Stegostoma tigrinum: one gene and its partners. The protein of the gene in region 3 purifies or fractionates together with the protein of the main gene of each other region. This does not show direct contact. Links are inferred from orthologs where the notes say so. Each region holds a gene or a part of one and is shown on either strand. Other genes may lie near its edges.

Region 1 (9,969 bases), on a different chromosome or scaffold from region 3:
AGTTGAGGTGACAAGTCTAAGAAGCAGTCCCAGTTGCTGATGGTACAAAGACAAAGGGGAGAAAGATTTAGCATTTTGAGCTGCAGATGCAAGGAGGGGAATGTGAGGAAAAACTTATCTACACAAGTGCTATCACTGACGATGAGATGATGATTTCAAGAGGAATTTGGATGGGCACTAAAGGGAAATAAACTTTCAGGGCCTTGAATTGCTCTAGCATTTAAGAACTGCAAATGCTGGAAATCAGAAACAAACAGAAACATCTCTGGAGAGAGAAACAAGAGTCAATGTTCAAAGACCAGTGGCCCTTCAGAGCTAAAACTGCAGATGTAGATTTAAAATAACAAAAACTCCTAAGGGTCACTGGATCCTAAAATGTTAACTGCTTCTTTCTTCACTGATGCCGCCAGACCTGCTGAGTTTCTCCTCAGCAATTTATGTTATTAGGGTATTTTGGGTTTTAGCTCAAACAGGAGAAAGAAAAACAATAGAAACAATTATTCAAACCAAGTTCAAATTAATACTACCCCAGAATAATGTCAAATGGTTTAAATATATTTGCCCACAAGAGGAAGCTTATCTCAGCCTGGTCTTACTGTTATGTATTTTAAAAGTCTTTGGAACACCTCTGAAGCAATACCTCAGAGCAGACTGTCATACTTATAGTACACATCCCATTTTACAGCAGCTAGAAAAGAAAAACAATTGCTCATACTTGGCTGGGGAAATATTTGTGCACACTAGTGAACACAAAATGGATCTGCCAATTTATTTTAGCAGGTGTCACCACTCATTCCCTGGCAGACAAACATGACTGGCTCCACCTAGAATAACCGAGTTTCTGCTCGTGTTGAAATTGAAAGTAGTGCTATCTATAGAAACACCAATGGATGCTACCTTTTTTTTAAAAATTCTCAATCTCTAGAGACCACACCCCCACCTCTTTAAGCATGTTGTTAACAAATATTAAATGTGGAATTTGTTGCCAATTTCAAAGCAATATTAATGGAAATACAAAATAAAATAATCCACTTCTAAACACAAGGAGGAAGTGCTCCTAAATAACAAAAATCCCATCTGAACTAAATTTCTCGTAAGAAAATTGGAAATATGCACAGCTCCCAGCACATCAGCAGAAAATTGCCAAAAATAAACATCTATGATGCGGCATCTTGATGTAATTTGTGCTGAACACAACAATGGCCAATTCACCAGATCTAAGAGGTTGCTGCTGAATTTTCCTCACTCCACATTATGCTGACCATAACATTTATCTAAACAGATATACAGTAATAACATTTAAAACTGTAAGTCATAGGTCAGTTCTAGCACCATTAATGATTTATGCATCATCTTTAATGTGGATGTATATTTAGAAAAGCACGAACATTAACAATGACACACAGTCAAAAACAGAAGTATTAGGAAAGCCCATTAGAAAGTTGGTTAGAAATAGTTTTTAAGACCTTAAAAACTGACAGAAAAACAGATTTTTGGGAGCAAACTTAAAAGACAACATGGCACAGTCAGTGAAGTAGTTCAGAGGTAAACTAACAGCTGGGAAAGCCTGTTAGGGAAGTTATTCAGCCCATCTGGTTTGTTCTTCTAAGAAAATCTATAAAACACCACCCGAAGACATCTTAAATTACTCCAGATGTTTCATATTAACTAATCAGGAGGCAAGATGAATCATTCTAGCACAACCCAACTGCAACAACAACTATATGAAAATTGTATTCAGTTTAAGACAAAACTAATGAGTCAAAGTAAAATATAATGATCAACTTCTTGGTCCAGTGGTATTAAAACAAAACAAAAAGTAGATGTCAGAACAAAGTTTTCCAAACACTATTCATTTAGACAGGACTAAACCTACCAAACCCCTTTTAAAATTAAATGACTGATACTAGGAAATCATTAGTATGCCATATTAGTTTCAATTTGTTTCCTCCTATTATTTCAGAGTTTATGCAGTGAGTAGTCCATTGTATAAACTTAGAACATCCAAAATTCAATGTTTCTTTATCAGATTTCATTCAAGGTAGTTGCAGGTTCACTTTGTCAAATAATTCATTGACATTTATCGAGGTGACATTTGAATAGCTACACAAGACATAATACCTCAACCAGACCAAGGAGAAAATTGCAGAGAGCACAGTCTTTTTTATAAAATGGCCTCCATAGTCATTCCCTTTACTCAATATTTCACAAAGCATAATCAGTCATATTTTATTTCCATGTTTAAATATATTTCCAGACCACTTTTGGAAGTAATAATTGCCAAAGAATTTCTTACTGACAAAATAATTTCCAACAAGCGAATAGATAGGAATCTTTTTTCCCAGCTCATACATGCCCCCCCATTACTTTGATGTCTAACCGAGCCCCTTCAGCTCTTAACTGACTTGATCACTATCTGGTTGTGAAACTTTAGGGTACTCAATATTAGCATTTTCTGACAGGCCACACTACCAAGAAGAACAAGTTTCCAGAAAATTGTCATAATCAACTTTCTGAAGAAGGTATGCATTACCAAGTTGTAAAGCACTCTTGCGTGCCTTGAGGCTTCAAGGGGGAGTCTTGTCAGTTTAAAAGTGATGTGAACCTCAGATCTAATGTTTCTCCAAACACTTAAAAGCCTAATAAACAATGATATATCATTGTGGCAGTCAGCACCTAGGTAACACTATCTGAAGATTATAACATCGAGCAAATTACCACAAGTCTCAAATAACATTTATATCAATTGATATAAATGTTGTCTGAAACACGGAATTAACAGACATTAAAAAATGCTAAAGGGGAAATGTGCAATTTTGAAAAATTCACTGTCAACATTTCTGATAGAGTTGACTATTTTCATGGTACAACTGGGGCTTTAACTGTTTATTTGGACACAGTGATAAAGTGTGCAGCTGGATGAACACAGTAGACCAAGGAGCATCTTAGGAGCACAAAAGCTGACGTTTTGGGCCTAGACCCTTCCATCAGAAAAGCTATTTGGACACAGCGCTGTCTTTTACTGTCAACATTCAACATTTCTCACTTAAGATCTACCTGTGATATTTAAGCTCCTCCCAAGAAAGGCAGAACAATGACTCTTTACACTCCTGAGCCCGAAGAACGCGGTTAGCTGGTAATGGGGATTACTAGATTGCTTGCAAAAATTCCAAGTCCTTAGGTAGGTTAGCCTCCTATTAAAGTTTTCAAAAAAGTTATTCCTAGGTTGTAGACTGTCATCAGTCAGGGTTCAATCAGGTAATTGTAAAAATTATAAAAGTTATAACTTGGAATGCCCTCCAGGTAATTTGCATTTGTAAACAATGACTGTTGGATATCATAACAGGAGAGAGAACCTCATATTTGTTAAGTTAGTCATTTCAGGTTTACAGCTTCAAACATGCAGTGAAATCCAACTATCAGGTCACACAAAAGATTAAAAGCAGTTCAACAGGATAATTTTTTTCCCAAAATTGTGTGTTTTATCCAACATTGAATTCAGTTGTTGTCCTTTGATATCATTATTGACAGTGCCATTGCCCTCCATAAGGGAATAAGAATTCTTACTGAATAAAAGTAAAGGTGCCAGCAAGACTGTGTTACAGTAATAAAAAAGTGGGGAAGACAAAGTTTATAACCAAGGTAAGTGAAGGGCTATTGAGCTCCCATTTGGTCCACGAGAGTCAAATCAAGATTTGATTACAACAGTTTGAATAGGCCTGCAGCATACTATGTTTATTGATATTTTCAGAACTAATCCCACAAATCTGCCAATACATTACAAATTACCGACCGATTTTCAATTGACTGTAAATAACAGAAAAGATACTTCTTGAATAATTAGTCTTCCTTAAATGAACCATTCTATTATGGTGAGCAGCAGTATTTGTTACTCGAGGGGTAACAAGGCCTGCTTTCTAGCAGTTAAACCTTTGAATTGGCTCATTGACTCAGATCTCGAAAAGCCAACAACTGCAGTTTCACACGTTGGCACCAATGGTACGATAAATACTCTGGAGAGTAAGTAATCCAAGTTCATACAGTTCCCTCCAATGCACGATACTTCAAGTAATGTTGAAATTAAAGGGAAAAAACACATTAAGCAAATTGCGGGTACATTTTAAACGTAATGATTAAAACCTTGTTGCTAAGGATGCAACGGATCCAGCAGAACGGTGTGAAGCCGAGATTTCATCAAATCAATATTGCATGAAGTTAGTACAGATGTCTCCTGCCCGAAAATAAAGCAGCTTTTCTGTAATCGCCGAAACCCCCGCGAGGAAATCGTTCATGTTTACGTTGAGATGTCTTTTTAACAATAATTTGGGATTGTTTCCAGTGGGAGAGCGAGAAATGAGAGCGGCCTAAAGCCAGAGCCAGGTGGAGGGGGAGCTGGGGGGGACGAGACTGAGGTGGTGGTGGTGGTGGTGGTGGTGGTGTTAGGGATGCGGCCGTCTTGCCGTCTTTCCCTCTTTCCATCCCCCGCCCGCGGTGACGGACGGGCTGTCTGGAGGGGTTGAGGGTGCCGTTGGCGACCCGAATGTCGGCTCCTTTTAAAACCCCGCAACCGGAAACCCGCCCTGCCGGAAACAGCCTGGAATCTAATAGGAGGGGAAAAGGGAAAATAAATGAAGCTGGATAAATAGGAGCCCAGCTTCACACGGCCAGGCTTTCCGGGATACTAGGATCCCTACCCCTGCCATTTCCAATTCACGGCTGCTTGAAGAAGACGAGATTGTTCCTTTTTTCCAAAAAGATTCAACTCACCAGGAAAAATAAATGTCCCGAGCGGACGAAGGAGAGATGAAGGTTGGTGCTTTTTTTTTCCTCGCCGTCCCCCCTTACCCTCCTCCTTTTCTCTCAATACTGGTGTTTTATCCTGTGAAGTCCCGCAAACCGACGGCGCAAAGGGATGTCAGAGCAGTCGGGAGGGTTGTGTCGCTGCCGTTCTTTCTTCTGGTGGCCATTTTCACCCGAGGCTGAACTGAAGAGCCCTGAGAGTGACACTGGGAAACATCGCCGGCTCCGCTCCCTCCTCCCAGGCACCGGGGTCCACCAGCAACCCAGCAACAGCGACCAACGAGCGCCCCCTCCGCTAGCCGCCGCTCACTGCGACTCTCCGAGGGGCAGACCGCTGCGCACGCGCGGATTCCCCACCCCACAGCCCCAGCCGAGGGTGGCCGATAGCGCCCCCTTCCGTCGGACCCCCGCATACTCTCCAGCCCGTGAGATGAAACGAGGAGGGCTTACGGCGGCTGGGCGGGTAGTGACGCTGGGGCGGATGCTGCGCACGCGCGCATCGCCCTCCACGCTCGGGGTGCGACTGCCAGCACCGCTCCCACGTGATCGATGAGGGGACTCCGAAGACCGAAGTTGTCTATTGTACACATGCGCACTCGCATTTTGACGGCTCGAATGATGGGGGGTGGGGAAACCGGCGTGTGCTTTTAAATACTGGCTCATTTCTCGCACTGGGTGAGATTGCTGTTGAAGATGTTTAAACGTTATTCGTGTCATAGTGGCCATCAGGTTAAACTCACAATTAGTCTGTAGTGGGACTATGGCGACTTCAACTTCGTCATCTACGGGCAGAAGGGCATCAATGATCATTCATAGAATTGACGCAGGATGGAAAAACGTGTTTGGCCCATCGTATCAGTCATCACACAACTATTCTAATTGTATTTTCCAGCACTGGCCAATAGTCTTCTGTCTATCGTGCTTCAAGTGCTCTTTGAAATATTTCTTCGTGATAATGGGAACTGCAAATGCTGGAGAATCCAAGATAACAAAGTGTGGAACTGGATGAACACAGCAGGCCAAGCAGCATCTCAGGAGCACAAAAGCTGACGTTTCGGGCCTAGACCCTTCATCAGAGAGGCTCTCTGATGAAGGGTCTAGGCCCAAAACGTCAGCTTTTGTGCTCCTGAGATGCTGCTTTGCCTGCTGTGTTCATCCAGCTCCACACTTTGTTATCTTAAATATTTCTTAAATATCTTCAGCCACCTACAAACTGGAAGAGAATAATCCTTGTTTGCGAAGAACGGCCAGTGATGAAGTGTCTAGAGGTTTCTGCTTTTACCACCTTTTAGCCCATGCGTTGCAGAAAATGTCCCCTAAACCTTGTGCACCTAACTTTAAAAATGTGCACCCTAATTGTTGATCCCTGTACAAAGAGGGAAAGTTTCTCCCTTTCCATGCCACTCTTAACTTTGTATACCTCAGTTAGGTTCTCCTCCATCGGCGTTTTCTGCTGCAAGGTAGATAACCTTGTCCTATCTAGGCTCCGTTCTTAGATGAAATACTCCAGCCAAGGCAACATGCTCTGCAGTGCAACCATATCTTTCTTACAGATTTGCAACCAGAACTGCATATAGTACTTCGGCTGCGACCTAACTAATGTTGCATGCAGTTCCATCATAACCTCCATGCTTTTGTATCGATTGTCTTGACTAATAAAGGTGTGTCCATATGCTGCCTTAACAACCTTATCTACCAGTCTTGCTGCCTCAAGGATCTATGGACACAGTACCAAAGTTCCTCTGATTTTTCTGTATTTTCTAACGTTGTACCATTCAATGTATACTCCCTAACTTTAGTAGTCCTCCCAAAGTTCACCACCTCATACTTGTCACAATTAAATTCCATTTACCACTTGCACAACAACAAAGAAATGACAGGCTTTGACAGTGACATGGTAATCCGAATAACTTCAATTATGGCACCTATTTCTGTAAATTGTAGCTAGTGGTTGTAAAAATCATTGTACTGGTCACAACTGATGTTAATACTGGATAGATCAGATTGCACAATAAGCTGTGACTTGATAGATCATGTTTAACAATGATCTCTCACTAAAAGGTAAGGACACATGGCTGTAGATTTGGTTTTAACAATAAAATCGAAATTTTTTAATAAAGCACAGGAACAAAACAATTCAAAACTTATCAAAATATAACACCATTTGGGCAGAATTGAACACATAGCAAAACAAAATCCTATTTCATAGTATAGTTTAACAAATTGTTCCCTAGAGTTAATTTATTCCCTTTACTCTTTAGAGCAATTTCCAGGAAACATTATATTTGCATCTGATTTTAGTCTGTTTTCATTCGAACTGATTTTAAAAACATTCAACAACATTAAAAGTAAATTATCCATCCTACATTCTGATAAGCTAATGGCTTAATATTTTCTCTCACTGCTAGTTCAAGCGGTAATATGAAGTATAGTTTGTAGACGAGCTGAAGCCAAGGGGTGTGTACAAATATAGATTCAGTTGGCAACATGTAGCTCACTAGCCTATGGACTAGTGATCAGTTATTGATGACAAGAGCCCCTGCCAGCTAACAAATATGCCTGTCAGGTAGTTGAATAGCTTAGGGCTGTGAATAAGGTAGTGAGAAGCCATCAGTCCTTCACCAGCCTAAGAGCTTTCTGTTCTCTGCAATAAACACTGCTTTAAGACTCAAGAAAACCAATTTATTTTTTCCTTGAGCAGTTGCTATAACCTATGACTTTTCATTAATAATCAGAGACCTTTTTCATGGAAGTCAGCCAACGTATGCCCCTTGAAAACCATTGAAAGCATCAGGAGAAGGAAGACAAAGAAGCAGCATTCTGATCAGCGTCAGAACCATCTTAGTAGACCATGTGATCAAAGAACCACTGAACTGCTTTCCCAGTTTTCCTTCTCTGTATAACTTCCACTATTTTCCTGTGTGTGTGTTCGTGTGAGAGAAAGAGAGGGGTAAAAGGGGTAGAGGGATGATTTATAAGTCAATTAAACGTAAACTACTAGAGATGTATGCCATAGGTTCATAATTACTTGCCTCTAGCTAGAGCCTATTTAATTCAATAATTAGTTATTTTTGTCAAGTACATGAACTTGGTCCATGCTTTGTGTGAATGTGGATCTGAAAGTTAGTTAGTTGGGGAATTCAGCATATTTTTAAAACTCTAGCTTTTGTGACAACTCTAGGAATAGCAAAGCTTCATTTCCAGTAAGCCACCCCAATGAGGGTAACAATATTAATGTACATAAATTGTACAGTATTCATCACAATGTGCAATTTTGCATTTTCTAAACTTCAAATCAGTCTACATGAGCTTTTGCCCATTACAACAGCATGTCCAACTTTATTGGCATTAATCCCAAATCTCACTGTCTCATTAGAGCATGGAATGATAGAGCACAGTACAGGCCCTTCGGCCCATGATGTTGTGCCGACTTATTATCCTACTCTAAGATCAAACTGCCCTGCCTACCCTACATTTCACTATCATCCATGTGCCTATTGAAGAGTCTCTTGAATGTCCCTAATGTATCTAATTCCACTACCAATGTTGGCAGTGCATTCCACATGCCCACCACTCTTTGTGTGAAGAACCTACATCTCCCCGTGCCTTAATCAGAAGGCAAACTCTCAAACATCAAGAAATTTGGCAAAAATATACAACTTTTTAAAAACTATTATATAGATTAGCTATTTTAATTCTAAATATAATGAAAGATACTTGAGTCCCATAATAGATAAGGTAATTTTATAAAATCTATATCACTGTCCAATTTAGGTTGTGACAAAGCAGAATTTCAGGGATCAATATACTGTGCACTGAGGATACCTAAAAAAAATGTCCAAGCCAAGATCGTCAGGCTATTTCTCAGGCATTCAGAGTGGCTGCCTAAAAGAAATATTGGCTGCATACAAAAGCACATGATGAGTATGATGCCTGAGTGAGGACCCCTTGGGGAATCTGGTGTGTTCTGCTGTCAGACATGCTCCAATCTATAACAGTCAATCCTAGAAGGCTCAACAATGTCTTTTCCTTCTTTGCCCACTGCAAACTGGATAGGACTGCTTGAATTTCAACCTTCGTTAGACCCTTGGTAATGATGATAGTTTTGCTTAGCTGTCCGGGCTAGATTTGAATCTTGTTTGCGGAGGTGAAAAGGCATCATTCAACTAACAGTCAGTCCCACAGCAATTTATTGCTGTCATAAATTTAATTATGTTTACATATAACAAAATGAGTTTGGCTCTATTCCTGTCTATTCCATTGGTATACTTAGAGTTTGTCATCTTTTAGTAATCTGATTTGGTCTGTAGCAATTATGTGACTATGTATAAAAGAGTTGCATTACAGAATATGTTTCATGATCTTATGATACTCCAGAACACCTTAGAAAAAATGAAGCCCTTTGAAGTGTTGCAGTGTAAGAAACTCATGCATTGTACTCCTGTAATAATCCAATTGATCTGTCTGAGCGAGAGGTGTTTTACAAATTAATGCTGTTCACCCAAATGGTGGGCATGCTGAATTTTCTGTCATCACTCAAAACTGCTTCCAGCATGACTTTTGGGGCAGATGACTTGTTGACATTCTCTTTTGCCTCTTTTCCAAACCTTGTGGCATTTTAATTTGACTGTTTTGGTGACAAAATGTCCATCTTTTAGACCTCAGACTACAAGTCTAATTTTGTTTAGTCTCCCTGTTCCATAATGCTTAGCTTCAGCTATCACGTGCAAATGTCAAAGAGAAAAGAATATTATCAGTCTGTGCTCTGCATTATATCTCCATTGCAAGCTCTGAGGTAGTGTCTTATGACAATAAGTCCCATATCATTATATTCATTTAGTAACAGAACTTGCTGAAAAAGTCTCATTTTGGCAAAAGATTTTTGTCTTACGTTCATGGGGAAAATTTTCAAGAAAAATAGAGGGAGAGCAATGTTTATATTGTATGTGAAGAGTGTGATGATTGTTTGCAAATGGACTGTGATTGGTAGAGGTATTGCCATGGAGAATACTGACAGTTAATTGCCAAACTTCATTCAATTTTGTACCAGGCAGGTTGATTGTAATCAGTCAAGGTATTGCCATGAGAAGTGAACATTTTCCAAAAGCTATATATATTCTTTGCAGACAGAAAAGCTATGTATACATACTGCACCTGTTTCAACTCGCA
Region 2 (9,969 bases), on a different chromosome or scaffold from region 3:
CTCCTGCTTTCTCTCCATACCCCTTATTCCATTTAGCCACAAGGGCCACATTCAGCTTCTTCTTGAACATTTCTAATGAACTGGCCCCAACAGCTTTCTGTGGTAGAGAATTCCACAGGGTTCACAACTCAGTGAAAACATTCTTCTTCATCTCAGTTCTAAATGGCTTATGCCTTATTCCTAGACTGTGACACCGAGATCTAAATTTCCCCAACATCAGGAACATTCTTCACACATATAGCCCGTCCAGGCCTATCAGGATTTTACACGTTTCTAAGAAATCCCCACCGATTCTTTTAAATTTCAGTGAGTACAAATCCAATTGATCCAGTCTTTCTTCATGCCTCAGTCCTGCCATCCCAGGAAAGAGTCTGGTGAACTTTCACTGCACTCCTTCAATAGCAAAAATCTACTTCCTCAGCAACATTGCAGCAGCCAGTCATACAGCATGGAAATGGACCCTTTGGTCTAACTTGTCTGCGCCAACCAGGTTTTCCCGAACTGAACTGGTCCCATTTGCTTGTTCTTCCGCAGACTAGGAGACCAAAACTGCACGACGCTCAAGGTGTGGCCTCACCAAGCCATAACTGCAACAAGACTTGCTATTCCTATATTCAAATCCTCTCATTCGTTCATAGAGGCAAGTTCAGTTACAACATTTAAAAGATATTTGAACAGGTATATGAATAGGAGAGGTTTAAAGAGATGTATGCTAAGCTCAGGCAACTGAGACTAGTTTAGTTTGGAAAACCTGGTCGGCACAGACAAGTTGGACCGAAGGGTCCATTTCTGTGCTGTATGACTCTATGACTGGCTGCTGCAAAATTGCTGAGTCAGAGCTGAGGGAACAATCTCTCACTGTTTGGAAGCACCATGTCCATCTGTGTTACTTTTCATAATAAAGTAGTCATCTTAGTCCCAGCTTACCATACTACTGCTCTCTCATTAAAGCTGGTGGTTTAACCTGAGGGTCACCACACTTCAGCAATACAGGTACTGCACCTGAACTGTTGGCACCACTCAGATTGCAAACTAGTCAGTCACTCGGTCATCTGGGTTACAACTCACTGGTTATCTAAACCCACTGGCAATGCACCATGCCTTACTTTGAAATAATTCAACTTTTTGTTTTATATTTGAGTACTACTGACAGTGTCACATTTATTGCCCATCCCAGGTAAACCTGAGAGATCTGCTGGACCACTTCTGAGGGCACCAACAAGTCAACAATACTTCCAATTAATAAAAAAAAACATTTAGCCTTTCTTTTCCCCAGGCAGTTTAAACTGAACGACAAGTTACCGAAGGCTTTCACTTACCACTCACCACAAATTAAAAAACAAATTTCAAAATTCAAAAACTGGAAAGGTTTACAATTATTTCCTATGCTATCTCTGAACAATTTATCTGGGCAGGTAAAAATTACATTTTCCATATTAATTCACATTTTTTAATTGCAACTTTATCACTTAGTTTCAAAAACTGCACGAGGCCAATTCATTAACTGTCAAATCATTTTTCTGACATTATGAATAAAAAGTGCAGAAAACCATATTACTAAGCTAGCAATTAGGGCCAGGGGTATAAATGGCAAGTACCGTTGATAGCAGTAAAGGTACTTTGCATTACAGTGAAGTAAGCAGGGTTTTCACTGTTTATGCCCGAGTAACAATTTATTAACTATATTAAAAGGTGATTAAATTAATTCCATCCTTATTTTCTAAAGGCAACCATAAAGTGCACAATAAGGCGGCACGAGATAGTGCAGAGGTGGGAGTTACCATCAGGTGGAGGAATTTTTGATGGAACAGGCTTGATGATTTGAGTTTATGAATGCCTTTTTGCCACTCAGCACTCCACACAACTACTCAAAGGAAAATTCTTGGCTAAAAGTCAATTCAAGAACTGTTTGACTTAGCATTTTGGCTCCCCTTTGCTCCTGACTCCAAGATTGATCAGAATTTACAAGTGAAAAGTCATCTCCACCACCACAGACAACAAAAGAATATAAAATCACGGAGAGACTATTTAGAGATTACAAGAATTTGCCTTTCCTCCAGCCCAAGCTACAAAGGATCTTTCAATCCTATTACTGATTTGCAAATAAACATCCATATAAAAAGATATAAACTCTGCTATGGCAAAGTGATCAATAGAGAACGCCCAGGCTCTTGTCAGACACCATTAACATCTTTAAGGTTACAACAAACCCACGCAGTCACCTGCTTAACAACCACTGGCAAACATCAGTGGTTATATGCAAAGAATAAAGTCCAATTTGCAATAAAGCAATATCTTTTGATCCTTTCCAGAAATATGAGCAATGCTGACGATCCCAGCAATTGCTGCCCATCCATAACTGTTTTTGAAGTGACTAACTTAATAAGTCATTTCAGAAGACAGCTAGGAGTCAACAACATTGCTGTTGGTCTTGAGTCACATGTAGGTCAGTACAAGTAGAGATAGCAGCTTTACTTCCCAAAAGAACCCTTGTTAGTTTCGTGATTTCCCAATTAAGCAAGAAAATATACTGTTTGTAATAAATATTGGACATGAGATAATGGTGGCAATTCAACATATTTCTCACAGGATTACCTGAACTTGATGTCTTGTATTTCAAGGAGGCACTGTCCTCGTGGATATCATCCATTTGCCAATATGCTATACAAACAGGTATCCTTGACTTTCTAGAACTGCAGCACATTCATTGAGTTCCGCTTCCAAAAGCAGAAATTACACTTCCAGAAAAATATTTACCTTGGAAGATGTCTGCATTTTAAATAATGCAGAAGTGGAAATAAACAATCAATCATAGTTATAGCTCGACTGCATCTTAAAAATCGCAAAGAGGCACACAAGGCCTGGAGTCTCATATTACACAGATCAATCAGCAAGTATTTCAGTGTCAATGCACAGAAATCCAAGGATTTCACCAAGGTCCAGTATCAAATGCAGATCTTTATCAAAAACATAAAAAGATAACATGCTCACCAGGCGATGTACCTTCCACTTAGTTTTGTCAATTTCACTTTTTATGTTACCTGCCCCACCCAACTTCCACTAATTTTATCATTATCTTCACTCATTCATGCACAGCAAAATGCAATATCTCTCTTCAGAATTGCACCAAGTGCAAAAAGTGCTACAGAGCTGGATTCACAAAAAGTGACTGAACATGCTGGGCAAGTGGAAATCCTGGCAGTTAAAATATTCTTTCCCCATCTCCCTGCTGAGTTTCTATGAGAAGTATGACAACAATGCTGTTGTGTATGGATAAAGACCAAGGAAACATCACGTATTGATATCCCTTCCACCACTCCACGTTCCACAACCTGAGTTTTCACGTCATTGTAAACAAAAACTCAGCATTGCCCAATAAATCCAAAGCCATTTCAACATCATTGTCTGCCTCTACAACAAATATTGATATATTCCCAGGGAAAACAAGAAACTGATATACATCCATAACTTACACACACTGTACAAGTTGAAAACTAGAAAGTAACAACAAAAACTAGGAACATTCAGCAAGTCAGTCAGCATATGGAGATCAAAAACAGTAGCACTTTAGGTGTAGGATCTTCAGCAAACATTACCTCATTTGTTTTTGCCCCACATGCTGATTGGCACAGCAAGTGCTTACAGTATTGTTTCACACTTGTAGATTTGCAGTTTATTTTTGTTATTCCTTCCCATCTCTAACCATCCAGCAAAGCAGAAACATCTCACATGCACCACTGCAACAGGAGTCATTTCAATATATACAGAAATAAGACAATAAAAAGGAGTGACTAATGATCATCTCCCAGATTTCTTAGCCTGGAACTATATCTGATTTGTGCACAAGTGTAATTGTATACAAGTTGTCTATCATTTATTTCCAGCCACTTGGGTACCAATGTCAACACACCTGGTTTGTATGTCAGACAGTCAGTGTTCACTTATTATACATGGGTGTATCAGTACTGTTCTACATCAGCATGGCAAGCTATAAGCTTGCACACCAGCATGTGTTTTTGTACATTGGTACATCAGTATACGATTTTACATATTGGCGTGCCAGCACATTTTTTTGTACACTAGGACGTCAGGGCCCGGGTAGAGGTGGGGCGGGGGGGTGGTGGTTCTAGGTGGGATGCTCTTCAATGGGTCAGTGCGGTTTCAAGGGGACAAATAGCCTCCTTTCACCCTGGAGGAATTCTATGGGTTCCACGGCATGTTTTGGTACATAATCACACTCTGACACGCCAGTGTACAGAAGGACACCATGAAATGCCAATGCACACCAGACGTCAGGGTGCGATTTTTGTACATTGGAATCCATCCCACAGTGAAATTTTGCGTTAGTTATTTAATCCTTGCGCGCACGCGTTTTGCTGTTTGTAGATCTCTGTAAGTACTTGAATGTCAGCGGGATTCACCAGCAGCTCCCCTACAAACCATCCCCAGCCCTCTCTCACCAGGATCGTTTTACTCACGGTTTCTGCCCCGGCTCCTCACTGGACGGTCCCTGCTGGAATGACTTTAGTGACTCGAAGGCCTTCATCAATTTCTCCATGGTTGCCATTTTATTAGGCAGAGAGAAAAATATAATGGGAGCGGAGCAGGAGAAGCGCTCAGGAAAAGCACTTCTTGCCAAGTCAATTCGAGCACCAAACACACCAAACCAGTCTACTCCACGTCAAAGCGTATGGACAGCTAAGAGGCTTCTAACCGCAATATACACGAAAACAGACTTGGTCACAGTCACCAAAACCGGCAAACACCGCCATCTTGCCAAGGGTAATGGCCCACAACCAGTCCCCTTCAACCAAACCTGACGGCACCAGCCACCCCGCCTCCAACCGATTGACTGACGGCCCCGTTCACCAATAGACAATCGACATTTGGCCCCAAGGACCAATTGGAATACAGTGGGTGGGGCAGGTCCAAATTGGAGCGCCGAACCTTACGTCATCCCCACGCGCGCGGACTGCTGGTTGATTGAAATATTAACCAATCGACTATCGGTATTTGTGACCACTGGGCCAATGAAAACCGTTTGTGTCTGGGAGACATTGGACCAACCGAGGCAGCGGACACGATGCTTGAACGCCCTTCAATTCATTGATGGACAGACGAACCAATCCACGGTCGGAAAGTACCGGGAGTTTGAAGACCGGACAGATCGTCACCGGTTTAATTGATGGATTGGTTAACCAGTAAAGAACGGACAATGACAGTGATTGATGGATTAATTGGCCAATCTATATTTGGAGTAATGACGGCGAGCCGGAGGCGGGACTAAATGTGAATTTAACGGCTGGCGCCGCCTGATGGGAAAGGGATGAGTGATGGTTGTGTTGACCAATCAATGGCCAGGTTCGAGCCAACGAGGAAGGGGAAGGCTGGCTGTTTAGGTTGTCTATTTAAAATAAATATAGATTCAGAAGTTTGGCTTGACGACATCGTGGTCTAACTTAGGAGTTGGTTGATGGCTCCGCTAAAGAACCTTTCCATTTGTCTGGAAGTTCATTCCCTTCCATGTGGCAGTTGAACCTGACCATAGTGAGCAAGAGTCCATTGGCCACCTCCTTGTTTGACATGATTTCGTGACTAAGCTAAAGGGAATGTCAGCAGTGAGATACAAGTTCGTTCTTGCTAAGACCTTGCTTGCGTTTTGACATGGACTGCTTCAGTACCTGAGAAGTCAGGAATGGTGCTGAATGTTGTACAATGACCAGTTATAAATCATACAGCACCAGGTGAATTTACTAAGCAACTTCATTTGACAAAGGAGCTGCACTCCAAAAGCTTGTACTTTCAAATAAACCCTGTTGGCCTATAACCTGGTGCCCTGTGACTTATGACTTTGTACACCATAGTCCAACTCCAGTACCTCCACATCGTAATAACCAGTTAGCTTGATCTCTGTAGTGGAGAAGTTACCAGAGCCAATCATAAAGGAAGAGAGAACTGAACACTTGGAGAAACAAACCTGAATTCACCAATGTCAGCATCATTTCATGAGGGCAAGCCACGCTTGACAAACTTGCTGGGAAATCAAATCAGCAAGGCGAGTCATGGGAATCTGGTGGATGTGGTGTATATATAGACTTCCAGAAGGCGTTTGACAAGGTTCCACATAAAATACTGACCCAGGGAATTAAGGGTAGAGTAATGGCTTGGATAGAGAGTTGGCTAACTGACTGAAATCAGAGGCTTGGGGTAAATCAGTCCTTCTCTAAATGGCAAACTGTAACTAATGGTCTCTCAGTCCTCAACTATTATATAAATGATCTGCCAGCAGGGACAGAGTGTAACATAGCAAAACTCGCAGATAACATTAAAATACATGGGAAAGCAGCCTGTGACGAGGAGGTAAAGAGTTTATAGATGGATATTGACAGGCTAGGAGAATGGGCCAGAATCTGGTAGATGGGGTTTAATGTGTATTAAGTGTGAGGTTGTCCATTTTTGGCAGGAAAAATAAAAGGCCAAATTATTATTTAAATGGGAAGCACATTTAAAGTGTGTCAGTGCAGAGGGATGTGGGCATTTTTGTGCATGAATTGCAGAAAGTGGCTCTGCAGATGCAGCATATACTAAGAAAGGCAAATGGAATCCTGACATTTATAGCAAAAGGACTGGATTAAAGAACTGAAAATGTACTGTTAAAATTATATATGGCTTTGGTGAGACCTCAGCTTGAATGTTATATCCAGTTTTGGTCTCCTTACTTTATGAAGGAATGTAGTGCACTAGAGGCAGCTCAGAAGAGATTCATCAGGTTGATTCCATGGATGAATGGACTGTCATACAAGCAGCACTTGTACAGCTTGGGCTTGTACTTACTGGAGTTCAGAAGAATCAGAGGGATCTGTTTGAACGATATAAAATGCTAAAGGGAAGTTGAACAGATGATCCCCACTGTGGGGCATTCTCGAACAAGAGTTTATAGATATAAACTGAGAGGAGGTAGGTTCAAAACTGAGATGAGCAGAAACTACTTCTCCCAGGATTGCAAATCTGTGGAACTCATTGCCCCAGAATGGAGTGTAGGCAGAATCAATAGACTTGAGAAGGAAATAGATATGTTGATGGAAAGTTGGATAAAGTGTATGGGGAGCAGGCAGGAGAATGGAGTTGAGACAAGGAAAAAACAGCCATGATCATGATGAATGGCAGAGTGGACTCAAAGGGCTGAATTGCCTACACCTGCTCCTAATTCCTATGTTCCTATGATTCTCGATCAGTAGGGTTTACAGGGAAAAGGCAGGAAACCGATGTGAGGAATGTCAGATCAGCCATGATCTGATTGAATAGCAGAGGAGGCTCAAGGGGCTGAACAGCTTATTCCTGTTCCTATTGCTTCTGGTCATAAATCTGCTACTCCTAAAACTATGACCTCTCATTCTAGTTGTCAAGGTCATTTACTCCCCATCACTTGACTTTGATGTAGAGAAGAAATATAGAATATGAAAGTAGATTGTGAATAAATAAACATAATAAAATGTGAGAAGGCTAATTACAACAGTATTAGGCAGAAGCTGGAGAAATTAGATTTGGGGGTGGCTCTTTGACAGTAAATCCACATCCGATGTATGGGACCCTTTTATGAACTAGTTGATCAGAGAATAGGATCAGCATATGAGGATGAAAGATAAGAATGGTAAGATTCAGGAACCCTATGACGGCAAGAAATGATGAAAGATTTTTCAAGAAGAGGAAGAAAGAGTATGTAACTTTTGTGAAACTGAAATTGGACAATTCCCTTGAGGAATATAAAGGAAGCAGGAAAGAACCTAAAGAATTGCGAGGATTGAGAGGACCCATGAAATGTTCTTGGCAAGTAGTATTGAGGAGAATCGCCAAGGCATTTTATATGTATATTAAGAGGAAGAGGATAGCTAAGGAAAGATTTATTCCACTCAAGCACAAAGGACGGAATTTACAAATGGAGCCAGAGAAATTGGGTGAGACCTTAGTGAGTATTTTACATTGATATTCACCAAGGAGAAAGACATGTAAGACATAAGATTAGGGAGGAATATATTGATATTCTTGGAGATGTCAATATTAAGAAGCAATAAGTCTTGGGTGTCTTGTAAAACACTTAGGCAAACAGGGATCTGCGCACACAGATCCTGTGCAGACCAGCTAGCGGGAGTACTTGCAGACATCTGTAACCTCTCCTTTCACTGATCTGATTTTCCCACCTGCTTCAAGAAGACCACTATCATCCAGGTGCAAAAGAAAAATCAGACAGCGTACCTTAATGACTACCACCCAATGAATCTGACATCCATCATTATGAAGAGCTTTGAGAGGTTAGTCATGGCACATATCAACTTCAGCCTCCCAGATTGCCTTGATCCACTACAAATTTCTTATTGTCACAATTGTTCCGCGGCAGTTGCTGTCTCTTTGGTCCTATGCTCATTTCTGGAACATCTGGATAACAAGGACACCTACATCAAACTCCTACTTATTGACTATACCTCTACCTTCAAAACCATTATTCTAATCAAACTCACCTTCAAAATCCAAGAACTTGGGCTCTGTTCCCCATTTCTACAACTCAATCCTTGACTTCCTGACCCATAGACCGCAATCAGTAAGGATAATCCTCAATGCCAGTGACCCACAAGGCTACATACTCAGCCCCTTACTGTACTCCTTACACACTCATGGCCATGTGTCCAAGTTCTGCTCTAACTCCATTTACAAGTTGCTGATGACATCACAGTAGGTAGGATCTCAAACACCAACGAGACAGAGTACCGGAAAGAAATTGAGAGCCTAGTGGCATAGTGTAAAGACAAGAATCTCTCCGTTAATGTCAACCAAATATAGGAGCTGGTAATTGACTTCAGGAAGCAGAGTAGAGAACATGCCCCTGTCTGTATCAGTGGCACTGAGGTGGAGATGGTGGTCAAGAGCATCAAGTCCCTAGGGGTGATGATCACCAACAATCTGTCCTGATCCATTCTACAGTCAAGAAAGCACACCAACGTCTCTACTTCCTCAGAAGACTAAGGAAATTCTCATGTCCACAATGTCTCTTACCAATTTTTATAGATGCACAATAGAAAGCATCCTATATGGATGCATCACAGCTTGCTATGGCAACTGGTCTGCCCAAGGCCACAAGAAATGACCAGAGTTGTGAACACATCCGAGTCCATCACACAAACCAGCCTTCCATCCATTGAATCCATTCATAAATTGTCATGGCCATAGGACGTAAAGGGTAGTTATGGAGCAGTGTTCTTCTGACTAGAGGTCTGTGACCAATACTTTTTGTACTATAGATTTGGATGAAATATAATTAGTCTAATTATTAAATTTGTAGATGACACAAAAATTGGTGGAAATCTGGATCGTGTGGAAGGTTATCAAAAGATATAGCAGGATATGCACCATTTGGGGGAAGGCAATGGCCTATTGATATTATTGCTAGACTATTAATCTAGAAATTCAGTGAATGTACTGGAGATTATGGTTTGAATCCCACCACAATAGATGGTGGAATTTTAGTAAAAAAAACAATATGTCTGGAATCAACAATCTACTGATAACCATGAAACCATTGTCGATTGTTGGAAAAAAACCCATCTGCGTCACTAATGTTCTTCAGGGAAGGAAATCAGCCATCCTCACCTTGTACTTGCCTACATGTGACTCCATACCCACAGCAGTGTGGTTGACTCTCAGCTGCCCTCTGAACTGGCTGAGCAAGTCACTCAGTTCAAGAGCGACTAGGGACAAGCAATCAATGCTAGCCAGCCAACAACACCATATCCCACGACTATTAAAAAAATTGGAAAGTTGGGCACAGAAATGGCGGATGGAGTTTAACCTGGCTCAGTGAGGTGGAGCATCTTGGGAGGTCAAAAGCAAGAGAAAATTATACAGTAAATGACCGGACCCTTAGGAGTATGATAAACAGAGGCATCATGAGTGCAAGCTCATAGCTCCCTGAAAGTG
Region 3 (9,969 bases):
CGCAGGAAGTGCTACAGTTGCCCCCACACCTCCTCCCTCACCCCCATTCCAGGCCCCAAGATGACTTTCCACATTAAGCAGAGGTTCACCTGCACATCTGCCAATGTGGTATACTGTATCCATTGTACCCAGTGTGGCTTCCTCTACATTGGGGAAACCAAGCGGAAGCTTGGGGACCGCTTTGTAGAACACCTCCGCTCGGTTCGCAATAAACAACTGCACCTCCCAGTCGCGAACCATTTTAACTCCCCCTCCCATTCCTCAGACGACATGTCCATCATGGGCCTCCTGCAGTGCCACAAGGATGCCACCCGAAGGTTGCAGGAACAGCAACTCATATTCCGCTTGGGAACCCTGCAGCCCAATGGTATCAATGTGGACTTCACCAGCTTCAAAATCTCCCCTTCCCCCACCGCATCCCAAAACCAGCCCAGCTCATCCCCTCCCCCCACTGCATCCCAAAACCAGACCAGCCTGTCTCTGCCTCCCTAACCTGTTCTTCCTCTCACCCATCCCTTCCTCCCACCTCAAGCCGCACCTCCATCTCCTACTTACTAACCTCATCCCACCTCCTTGACCTGTCCATCTTCCCTGGACTGACCTATCCCCTCCCTACCTCCCCACCTATACACTCCTCACCACCTATCTTCTTTTCTCTCCATCTTCGGTCTGCCTCCCCATCTCTCCCTATTTATTCCAGAACCCTCTCCCCATCCCCCTCTCTGATGCAGGGTCTAGGCCCGAAACATCAGCTTTTGTGCTCCTGAGATGCTGCTTGGCCTGCTGTGTTCATCCAGCTCCACACTTTGTTATCTGGAAATCCTCTGTCAGGTCACCCATTAGCCTTCGCTTTTCAGAAATAAAAAGCCGTAGTCTATTCAGTTATTCCTGGTTCCACTATTATCTAATCATAGCGAGGCGATCATGTTCAATGGCTCATCTTTCTGCTTCTGCACTTATCTCCACTGTCTCCCAAGTATATGCCCCTGACCCTTCCATTTTTTCATCTACCACTGCAACAAAGCCAATGTGTTTACAATCTTCATCCACATTTGATCTCAGGATGATTTTTGCATCCCCAATCTTAATTTCTACACTATGTTGGCCATGCTTTCTGTGGTCTACACCACAAACTTAGGAATACCCTTCATTAGTCATTCTGCTGAAGCATCTCAAGAATGTTACTATATCAAAAGCACCAAATACATGAGTTTTTTTTGAAGAACAGACGACTATGGGGTGAATTTACACACATGGCAAAGAATCCTATCTATGGCAAAAATTACACAGGTCACAGTTGGTCTACTGTCATGTAGGCTGAGATTGACAACCACAACAGTCCAGAAATCCAACAGTGGATCCTCAGGCTATTATGTATTATTTACATGGTACTGCCGATGTGTTGTATTTGGATTTCCAGAAGGCAGATGACAAGGTACCTCACAAAAGGTTAAGTCATAAGACCCCACAGTATTGGATAGCATATGGGCATGCATAGAGAATTGCCTCACGGGCAGGTAACAGTGAATGGGCATAATTGTTTTTCAGGTTGATAACCTGTGACCGGTGGGCTTCCACAGGGATCAGTGCTGGAACCACAAATGCTTTCAAAATATGTTAATGAAGTAAATGCACTACGCCAAATTTGCAGACGGCATTAAAAAAAGACAGAAAGGCAGGTTGTAAGAAGATACAAACAGTTTACAGAGAGCTATTGATAAGTTAAGTAAGTGGGCAAATAGTTGCCAAATGGAGAATAATGTGGGAAAATGTGAAGTTGTTCATTTTGGAGGGGAGAACAAAGAAACAGAATTATTTAAATGGAGAGAAACTACAGAAAGCTGCAACAGGTGCAACAAGTAATCAGGAAGGCTAATGGAATGCTGGTCCTAATTTCAAGGGGTTTGAAGTCTTACTGCACCTCTACAAGATACTGCTGAGACCACATCTGGAGCTCTGGGAGTTGTTTTCATCCCCTTACTTAAGGAAAGATATCATTTCATTACAGGCAGTTGCAAGAAAGTTAACTAGGATGAATCCTGGTATTTTTTGTTTTTCTGATGAAGGGTCCAGGCCCGAAACGTCAGCTCTTGTGCTCCTAAGATGCTGCTTGGCCTGCTGTGTTCATTTAGTCCCACACTTTGTTATCTTGGATTCTCCAGCATCTGCAGTTCCCATTATCTCTGACTCCTGGTATGCAGCGATTGTCTTATATGATCAAAAGCAAACTGGTTCGGATTCTGCTCACTGGACTTTCAAAAAAATAACAGGTGATCTCAATGAAACATAGGATTCTTAAGGGACTTGCTATGATAAACGCTGAGAGGATATTTAGCATCATGGAAAAGTCTAGGACTAGAAAGCATAGCCTCAGAAGAAAGGGATGCCAATTTAAGACTGAAATGAGGAGGAACTTCTTCCCTCAAAGTGTTAAGAATCAATCCTTACATATGTTTAAGGCTGTGTTGGATATATTCTTGATCAGTTCAATCATGGGTTATGGGAAAAGGCCAGGAGGAAGGTCAGATCAGCCATGATCCTGTTGAATGGCAGAGCAGTCTCAATGGGCCAAATGCCTAAGCTTGTTCCGATTTCTTACAGTTTCAAATTAAACCATCAGCAGAACTGGAGCACTGAATATCGTATCCTCTGCATAGTCACAGATTCAGTTGGAAATCAGTGCTACAATCTTTGCCATACCTGAGAGTGCTCCTTCAAGTGGACTTGTAAGCATGCTCTGAGGAAGGGTCACCGGACCCGAAACGTTAACTCTTTTTTCCTTCACTAATGCTGCCAGACTTGCTGAGCTTTTCCAGCAACTTTGTTATTGTCCTTATAAATATGATTCCTCACTCTACTGGAGTCTATTCATGCTTCACAATAAACCTAGATAACAATTAATTGCTAATAAACTCATTTTCTGCTCGCTGGTTAATTTTACAGCTTGCTAAATAGATCATTCTGAAACACTACAGTACTTAATTTAGTTCTCACCAAGAACATTAATACTCTGAACAAACAATAGGTTCTCCAGTTTTCTTGGTTGATTTAATCAACCACATTCATTAGAAAATGCAAATCATGCTCGGATGTATACTTGCCAAGTCTTTCTTCCCTGTGAGCCACCACATCCCGCCTCCCAAACCTGCTTTTCAAGTAAGATGTTCAACTTTAATTTTCCGACATTTTATGGTCTGCAAAAACTGGTGACACGAATTGAACCAAAGCAAAAGACTGTAAGATATAGGATCAGAATTAGGTAGTTTGGCCCATCAAGTCTGTTCCAACATTGGATCATGTCTGATATGTTTCTCAACCTCATTCTCCTGCCTCTCCCACTAATCTTTGATCTCCGTACTAATCAAGAGCCTACCTGTCTTAAATGCACTCAATAACTTGGCCTCCACAGCCTTCTGCGACAATGAGTTCCACAGATTCACCACCCTTTAGCTAAAGAAATTCCTCATTTCAGTTCTAAGTGTTCATTCCTTCACTCTGAGGTTGTGCCCTTGGGTCCTAGTCCTCCTACTTGAGGAGGTATCTTCTCCATGTGTACCCTATTCAGGCTTCTCAGTATTCTCTAGGTTACAATGAAATTACTCCTCATCCTTCTGAACTCCATTGAGTATAGATCCAGAATCCTCAACCACTCCTCATATGACAAGACCTTTATCCCTGGGATCATAAATGACTAGAGACATAGAAAAAGACAATATAGAAATCAGAAGGCTCTTTGAGTCTGCTCTGCCATTCAGTAATGATCATGGACTGATCCTCTATGTCATCCAAGTTCTGAAGAGGAGTCATATTGGACTTGAAACATTCACTGCATTCCTCTCTTCAATAATATTGCCAGACTTGCTGAGTTCCTCCACCATCCTTGTCTTTACATCAGATCATCTCCATCCATTATACTTTGTTAAACCGGGGAGAGCCAGGGAATGTGTTTTATGTGGATTTCCAGATAGTCTTTGACAAAGCACCGCACAGGTGACTGTTAAATATTATAAGTGCCCATGGCTGAAAGGGGCAAGGTATTGGCATGGATAGAGGATTGGGTGGCTGGCTGGCAGTATGCAGAGTAGGGATAAAGAGGTCTTTTTCAGGATGTCAGCCAGTGACTAGTGGAATTCCGCAGGGGTCATTGTTAGGACCACAACTATTCACGTTATATATTATACGATCTGGACAAAGGAACTGAGGGCAATGTTGCTAAGTTTGCAGATGACACAAAGACAGGTAGAGGAATAGGTATGTTGAGGAAGTAGTGGAGGCTGCCGAAGGACTTGGACAATCTAAGACAGTAGACGAAGAAGTGGCAGATGGAACATAACATGGCAAAATCTGAGATTATGCACTTTGGTAGAAAGAGTAAAGACATGGACTATTTTCTAAATGGGGAAAGGTTTCAGAAATCTGAAGCACAAAGGGAATTAGGAGTCCTAGTTCAGAATTCTCTTCAAGTTGACATACAGATTCAGTTGGCATTTAGGAAGATAAATGTGATGCTGGTATTCATTTCAAGAGGGCTAGAACAAGAGCAGGGAGGAATAGTTGTGAGTAGTGGGATTATGAAAGACAAAAGATTCAAAACTGAAGTAAAAAGGCATTTAATTTTCAATAATGTCCAACCATAGTTAAAATTATAAGGAATGCGATTTTGAAATGTAACATTAATTTGAAGTGTCGAAGCGCTTGTTTGCTTTAATTAAGAGTTATCATTCTTTTAAAATAAGCAAGAACCATTTCACAATTTAACCACATGAAGAAGGGTAATACCTGAAACGTTGGCTTCACATGTCCTACTGTTGCTACCTGGCTTGCTGTGTTCTTCCGGGCTCCTGTTCGTCTACATTGGAGTACAGCATCTGGAGATTTTTTGTCTTTCACTTCTTCAAACACCACCAAATGAAAAAAAAACCTGCTCCTTGATCATCTGAATTTCATTTTATGGGATCCGGCTGTGCATAAATGGACTACCCTGTTCCCTTTCATCATATCGATCACCAAACTTCAACAAAATATACTTCACCGGTTGTAAAAGCGATTTGGGGCACCGTGCAATCCTGAATTCCTCTGTATAAATACACACTTTTCTTCAAATATGGTGCCACTTGAGGCAAAATGGCTATTTAAAATGAAGAAAACGTTTTAATTTCCAAGGCAAAAGAAATTAACACCAAAAGACGAAACACTTCCCCTCAGTCGCCATCCTTGGTTGCCATGGATACTGCAAAGGCCAAGTGGTCAATTCAGCAACATGCCGGGGAGATCATTTTACACTCTCACAAAACCATTTTCACTCATCCCCACGCGACAGTCGATTTCCAGCTGCCTCCTCAAGCTTACCGACGAGGGTTTTATTTCAAGGCCAGATCGTTTTTGTTTACATTGTGATCGACGCTCCCACCGACTGACAGCTGCTTCGCACACATTTCAAAGAGGCGGGCCGTCGCTGGTGCGCGTGCGCTCTCGCGTCAGCTCCGCCTCCCTCCATCTCAGCGGGCGGGGAGCTCACGCGCGCCTTTCGGGTAGCCGGCGCCCGTGGGAAACGCGCATGCGCTGTCCATTGAGAACAAAGCGTGGCGCGGGATGAACACGGCAGGCCAAGCAGCATCTTAGGAGCACAAAAGCTGACGTTTCGGGCCTAGACCCTTCATCTGCTGTGTTCATCCAGCACCACACTTTGAATCTCCAGCATCTGCAGTTCCCATTAGCTCTGCGCAGTCCGTTGATGCGGGCGTCTCATTCAGCTTGTTGTCTCATGCCCCCTTCTCAGGATCACCCCACCCTCCTCCTCCCCTGCACATTTCTCCTCCCCTGCACATTTCTCCCCTTAACTCTCCCATCCACAAAGCCCCGCCTTCCCACCCCAAACCTTCTAACTCAATCTCCCCTCCCCCACACACCCACCCCGTTTCCACACACAGCCCCGCCTCCTACTCGCCCCGCCCCCGCGAACCTGATATCCATTCGCGGAGTGAGAGGCCGACGTATTGCGTTCTCGCCCGACGCCGCTATACAATCCGCGGCGTGTGTATGTGGGGGAAGTAGTGCGAGCGAAGCGGTGCTGGAAGGAGCGGGAGCCTCGGGTCCTGGTGACACAACCCCGAGAGAGGGGAAAAAAAAATGGAAGGCTTGCTTTAGATAATAGAATAATGCTAAACAATGCCTGCCCGGTGAGATGAGGCTCCGAAATGGGACTGTTTTGACGGCTGTGGTCTTGTGCAGCGTGGTCTCCGTGTCTTGGTACGCGGCGTTTTCCGCTCAGAAAGGTGAGAGAGGGAGACCCTCGAGGGAGAGAGAGGGAGCTGGATGTGAGGGAGTAATTAAATGGTCCAAAAGCAGCCGCTTGCTTTACTAGTTCACCACCCGTCATCCCCATTCACCCTTCAGCTCTCCCTGCCTTCCCTCCCTACATCTCCCTGCCTTCCCTCCCTACATCACCCCTCCTTCCCTCCCTACATCACCCCTCCTTATTCTTCAATCCCCCCCCCCCCAGTGATTTCCCCTTTTTCTCTTTATTTCAACACCTTGGGAATGTATTTGTTTGCGATGGTTTTTAAATATTTTATGCCGGACTTTTCCCTTTTTTTAAGTGGGATACAGAAGTCATTTGCCTTCTTTAACAATACCCCAGTTATTCTCTTTATTTTACCCCCCAACCCCACGAATAACCACATGTTTATTTGTGATGTGCTTCCATGTTTTATTCCAGATCTTTGCTTCCCCCCCCACACCCTTTTTTTTGTTAGGTGCGATGCAAAAGCCTTTTGCGGGAACCCAAAAGGATCTGGCCAAAAGGCTATCCCAGAAAATAAACAACACGGATTGCATGTGTTTCCGTCAGCACTGAGCAGTGGATCCATAGTGTCCCTCTGGGATGTCTTTTTTTTTAAAACCACTCCCAGTTCAATGGCAACACTAAAGTGTTTTTCTTTTTGTCATTCATCTCCTGGTTATCTTTCTCTTCCCCTCCCAATGTATTTTTTCCTAATTTCGGAACAACACTATCCACTTCCATCAGATTTGTGATTTGGCTCATGTTAATTCTCTGCGCTGCTTTACAGTCATGTTGAGACAAATTACAATGTTTCCAACCTGGGTTTCAATGTTAACTTTAAGTCGGCTTTTTTTTCTTTTAAAAAGATCCCTTTTTACAAAACGTGACGCCACTAGCGACAAACCATAGTAATTTATGTCATCGGATATATCCTTTTGGATGTGCTCTAAGCGAGCACCGTTTTGTTTTGTTGCTGTTGGAATCGCTTTCCGTTTTGGGACCACATTTGTTTTGTATCGTTGAGCCCAGTTCTGCTGAAGGGTCCTGGACCGAAACGTCGACTTTCCTGTTTCTCTGATGTTGCCTGACCTGCTGTATTCCACCAGCTCCGCGCTGTGTTGACTCTGATTCCAGCTTTGCAGTTCATGCTATCTCTTTATTTTGTTTATGATGTGAGTTTTGTACAAGAACTCCAAACCGCTGCTAATCCTTTCCCCGCCTCCGTTGAAGAAACGGCTTCCTTCGTTTTATATTGAAATGACGCTTTATGTTGGATTTACGAACCTCAGATGAGATGACGAAGCTTCGAAGTGTTTGTCTTTTTAAGGGTTAGTTAGAATTTTTGTCTGTACGACCCCACCATTTAATCTCCGCCTATTTTTTCCCGTAATGATTTTCAAGGCTCAATTTTAAAAAATATTGCGTTCGATTTCGCTATGCTTTTTAATAACTAGGGCCCTGTAAGTGAACTTAATTTTTGTTAATTTTCCGTGGGGTGTCGACGTCCCTCTACGTTCAGCATTAATTACCCATTTCCCAATAGCCATGGGTAAAATGGTGCTGGCTTCCTTCTTGAACTATTATAGTCCATGTGGTGTAGAAACACCTACAATGACAGGTGTATGGACTTCAGGGGTAGGGTTTTGGGTGGGTGCTTTACCAGAATATTTGGTCCATCAACCAGTTAGGTTTCCAAATAAAGATTGTACGTACTTTAAGGGAAAATTGAAGGGGGTGATTTTTTTTTGTGTGTGACTGTCACGTTTGCTCCTAGGTTGTAAATGATGTAGATGTGGTATTGCTGTTGAAGAAGCCTCCGCGAATTGCTGCAATAGTTTTTGAAGTTGTCTTGCCATTTAAGCAGTAGACTTTTGCATGGATCTCGGTGGGTTTAGCAGAGGACCCAGGTGCATGTCCAAGTGTGTCATTGATTTGTTATGATATGATTTGTATTTCTGTCTATTAGCATGCAAAATTTTCTATAATAATACACTCTTGTCATGTTGACAAGACGTTAAACAGATATTCCTCTCAGTATACCAATACTGAACATATTTCTGATGCACTAAAGTTTGTGAGCCGAAGTTTTAATCTCACTTAAAAACTGAGAACTGTAAATATATGTAGTCTGTCTGTATTTGAATGATATTGGTTAATGCAGTTTAATATTTCAGGCTGCTATTTCTTTCCGTCAGCTGACTCTCTTGGATGCTGTAACTTTCTGATATTGTAAAAAATGTCTCTTAAGGTTACTCGTTTACTGCGCACAGCCAGATTGTCATTGGAGAAGCAATATGATAGAGTGGAATTTGTTAGAGCTGATTCCTGGAATCAAATCTGAATTTATATGCCAGCATTATTTGCATTTTAAAGTTGAAAGATTAAAGACCAATATTATTCCCTTGTGTGTTGTTTATGTAATGAAAGATGAGTTGTTATGGGGTATTAGTGTTCTGTTGGGATATCAATTGTATCCTGCACTGCATTTTGTAGTGTCCTTGCTGCGTATCAGGAAACCAAACTTCAACGGTTTATAGCTGAAATTTCTTTTAAAACCTAAAACATTAGCAATAATAATGTATAAATTCATTCTTAGTTTCACACATTCAAACTTTATCAGCCTGACTCTTTTACACAAATTATTATTTTATTTGCTCCCCATCTTCTTAAGTGGTTGCATAAATTTGTATTATTCCCTTGAATCTTGAAGGGTAATCCAAAAGCATTGTGATAAATATTTGAAGGGGGAAAAATTGACATGGATGTGGGACTAACTTAATAGCTCTCAAAGAAACTGCTTGGGCATAATGAACAGGATGATCCTCCTGTGAAGTATCATTCTAAAGCAATGTTGACCGATTGAAGTCTCTGGTCAACCTCAAATATTGGTGTGGGACACTGCTTCAGCCACACTTACTAATTGTAGTAAAAAATGTTTTACTACAATGTATGCAAAACTACTTCGTGGACATATTTATTAAACTAACCTAATTCACCTTTTACTGATACTATTGGAGAAAAATGCATAGAATGTCTCAAAGTATTGCTCCCTCCAACCCAAACGCACACCATACCTCAGTCATTTTTGTCCTCTGTTACTGCCTTCACCTTGGAGATCCAACATCTCTACCAGAATCTTGGTGCTGCTGTATGTTTTGTAATCATAATGAAGTGATCATCAGTGCCCTGTCCTTACCACCATCTGTGTGCACATTCAATTTGAAAAAGATAGAAAAATCTCTTATGACTCAGCTATGTGCATTCGAAAAATGTTACGATTATCAACTAACAAAAATATAACTGACAACTTTACTTTTGATTTCTTCAGCCACCTTGTTCTTTTAGGTAACAGGAGATATTTCACTACTGAAATGTTTTGTCACCCATTCTACTCAATAATGAATGTTCCTGTTGAGAGAAAAGCATCTAAGTATTATTTGAAATATATTAAAGGAGAGAAACATGAGCATTGTGATCTGTTTGTTGACTTTCTGCATTTGGGAGAATGTAACACACCCCTCACAGCTTGGATGTATGATTTATATATTAATGACTTCATATCGCTGTTCTTACCACAACTAGTCTAGGTCTTTGAGATAGTTGCTTATTATTGTTATTATGTGTCATGTTGAAAATGTATCAGATCAAAAATTCAATTGTATTCCTTTTACGAGAAGTTAACTAAA

The links.
Region 1: the proteins of sqstm1 (region 3) and wdfy3 purify together in Homo sapiens (affinity purification with western blotting; 4 studies listed by BioGRID and IntAct, with this or other methods). This does not show direct contact. The link is inferred for Stegostoma tigrinum from reciprocal best matches to the Homo sapiens genes SQSTM1 and WDFY3.
Region 2: the proteins of sqstm1 (region 3) and htt purify together in Homo sapiens (affinity purification with western blotting; 4 studies listed by BioGRID and IntAct, with this or other methods). This does not show direct contact. The link is inferred for Stegostoma tigrinum from reciprocal best matches to the Homo sapiens genes SQSTM1 and HTT.

Annotation. Positions count from the first base shown.
Region 1 is NC_081354.1:74,047,701-74,057,669, forward strand, and holds the start of wdfy3 (WD repeat and FYVE domain-containing protein 3), read right to left. Parts: upstream 5,097-9,969; 5' UTR 4,768-5,096; exon of another isoform or gene 4,433-4,767; intron 1-4,432. UniProt on the Homo sapiens protein: Required for selective macroautophagy (aggrephagy). Acts as an adapter protein by linking specific proteins destined for degradation to the core autophagic machinery members, such as the ATG5-ATG12-ATG16L E3-like ligase, SQSTM1 and LC3.
Region 2 is NC_081356.1:129,591,500-129,601,468, forward strand, and holds the start of htt (huntingtin), read right to left. Parts: upstream 4,799-9,969; 5' UTR 4,568-4,798; coding exon 4,479-4,567; intron 1-4,478.
Region 3 is NC_081366.1:11,449,210-11,459,178, reverse strand, and holds the start of sqstm1 (sequestosome-1), read right to left. Parts: upstream 5,468-9,969; 5' UTR 4,780-5,467; intron 1-4,779. Other genes in the region: mgat4b (alpha-1,3-mannosyl-glycoprotein 4-beta-N-acetylglucosaminyltransferase B), read left to right, coding at 6,185-6,275. UniProt on the Homo sapiens protein: Molecular adapter required for selective macroautophagy (aggrephagy) by acting as a bridge between polyubiquitinated proteins and autophagosomes.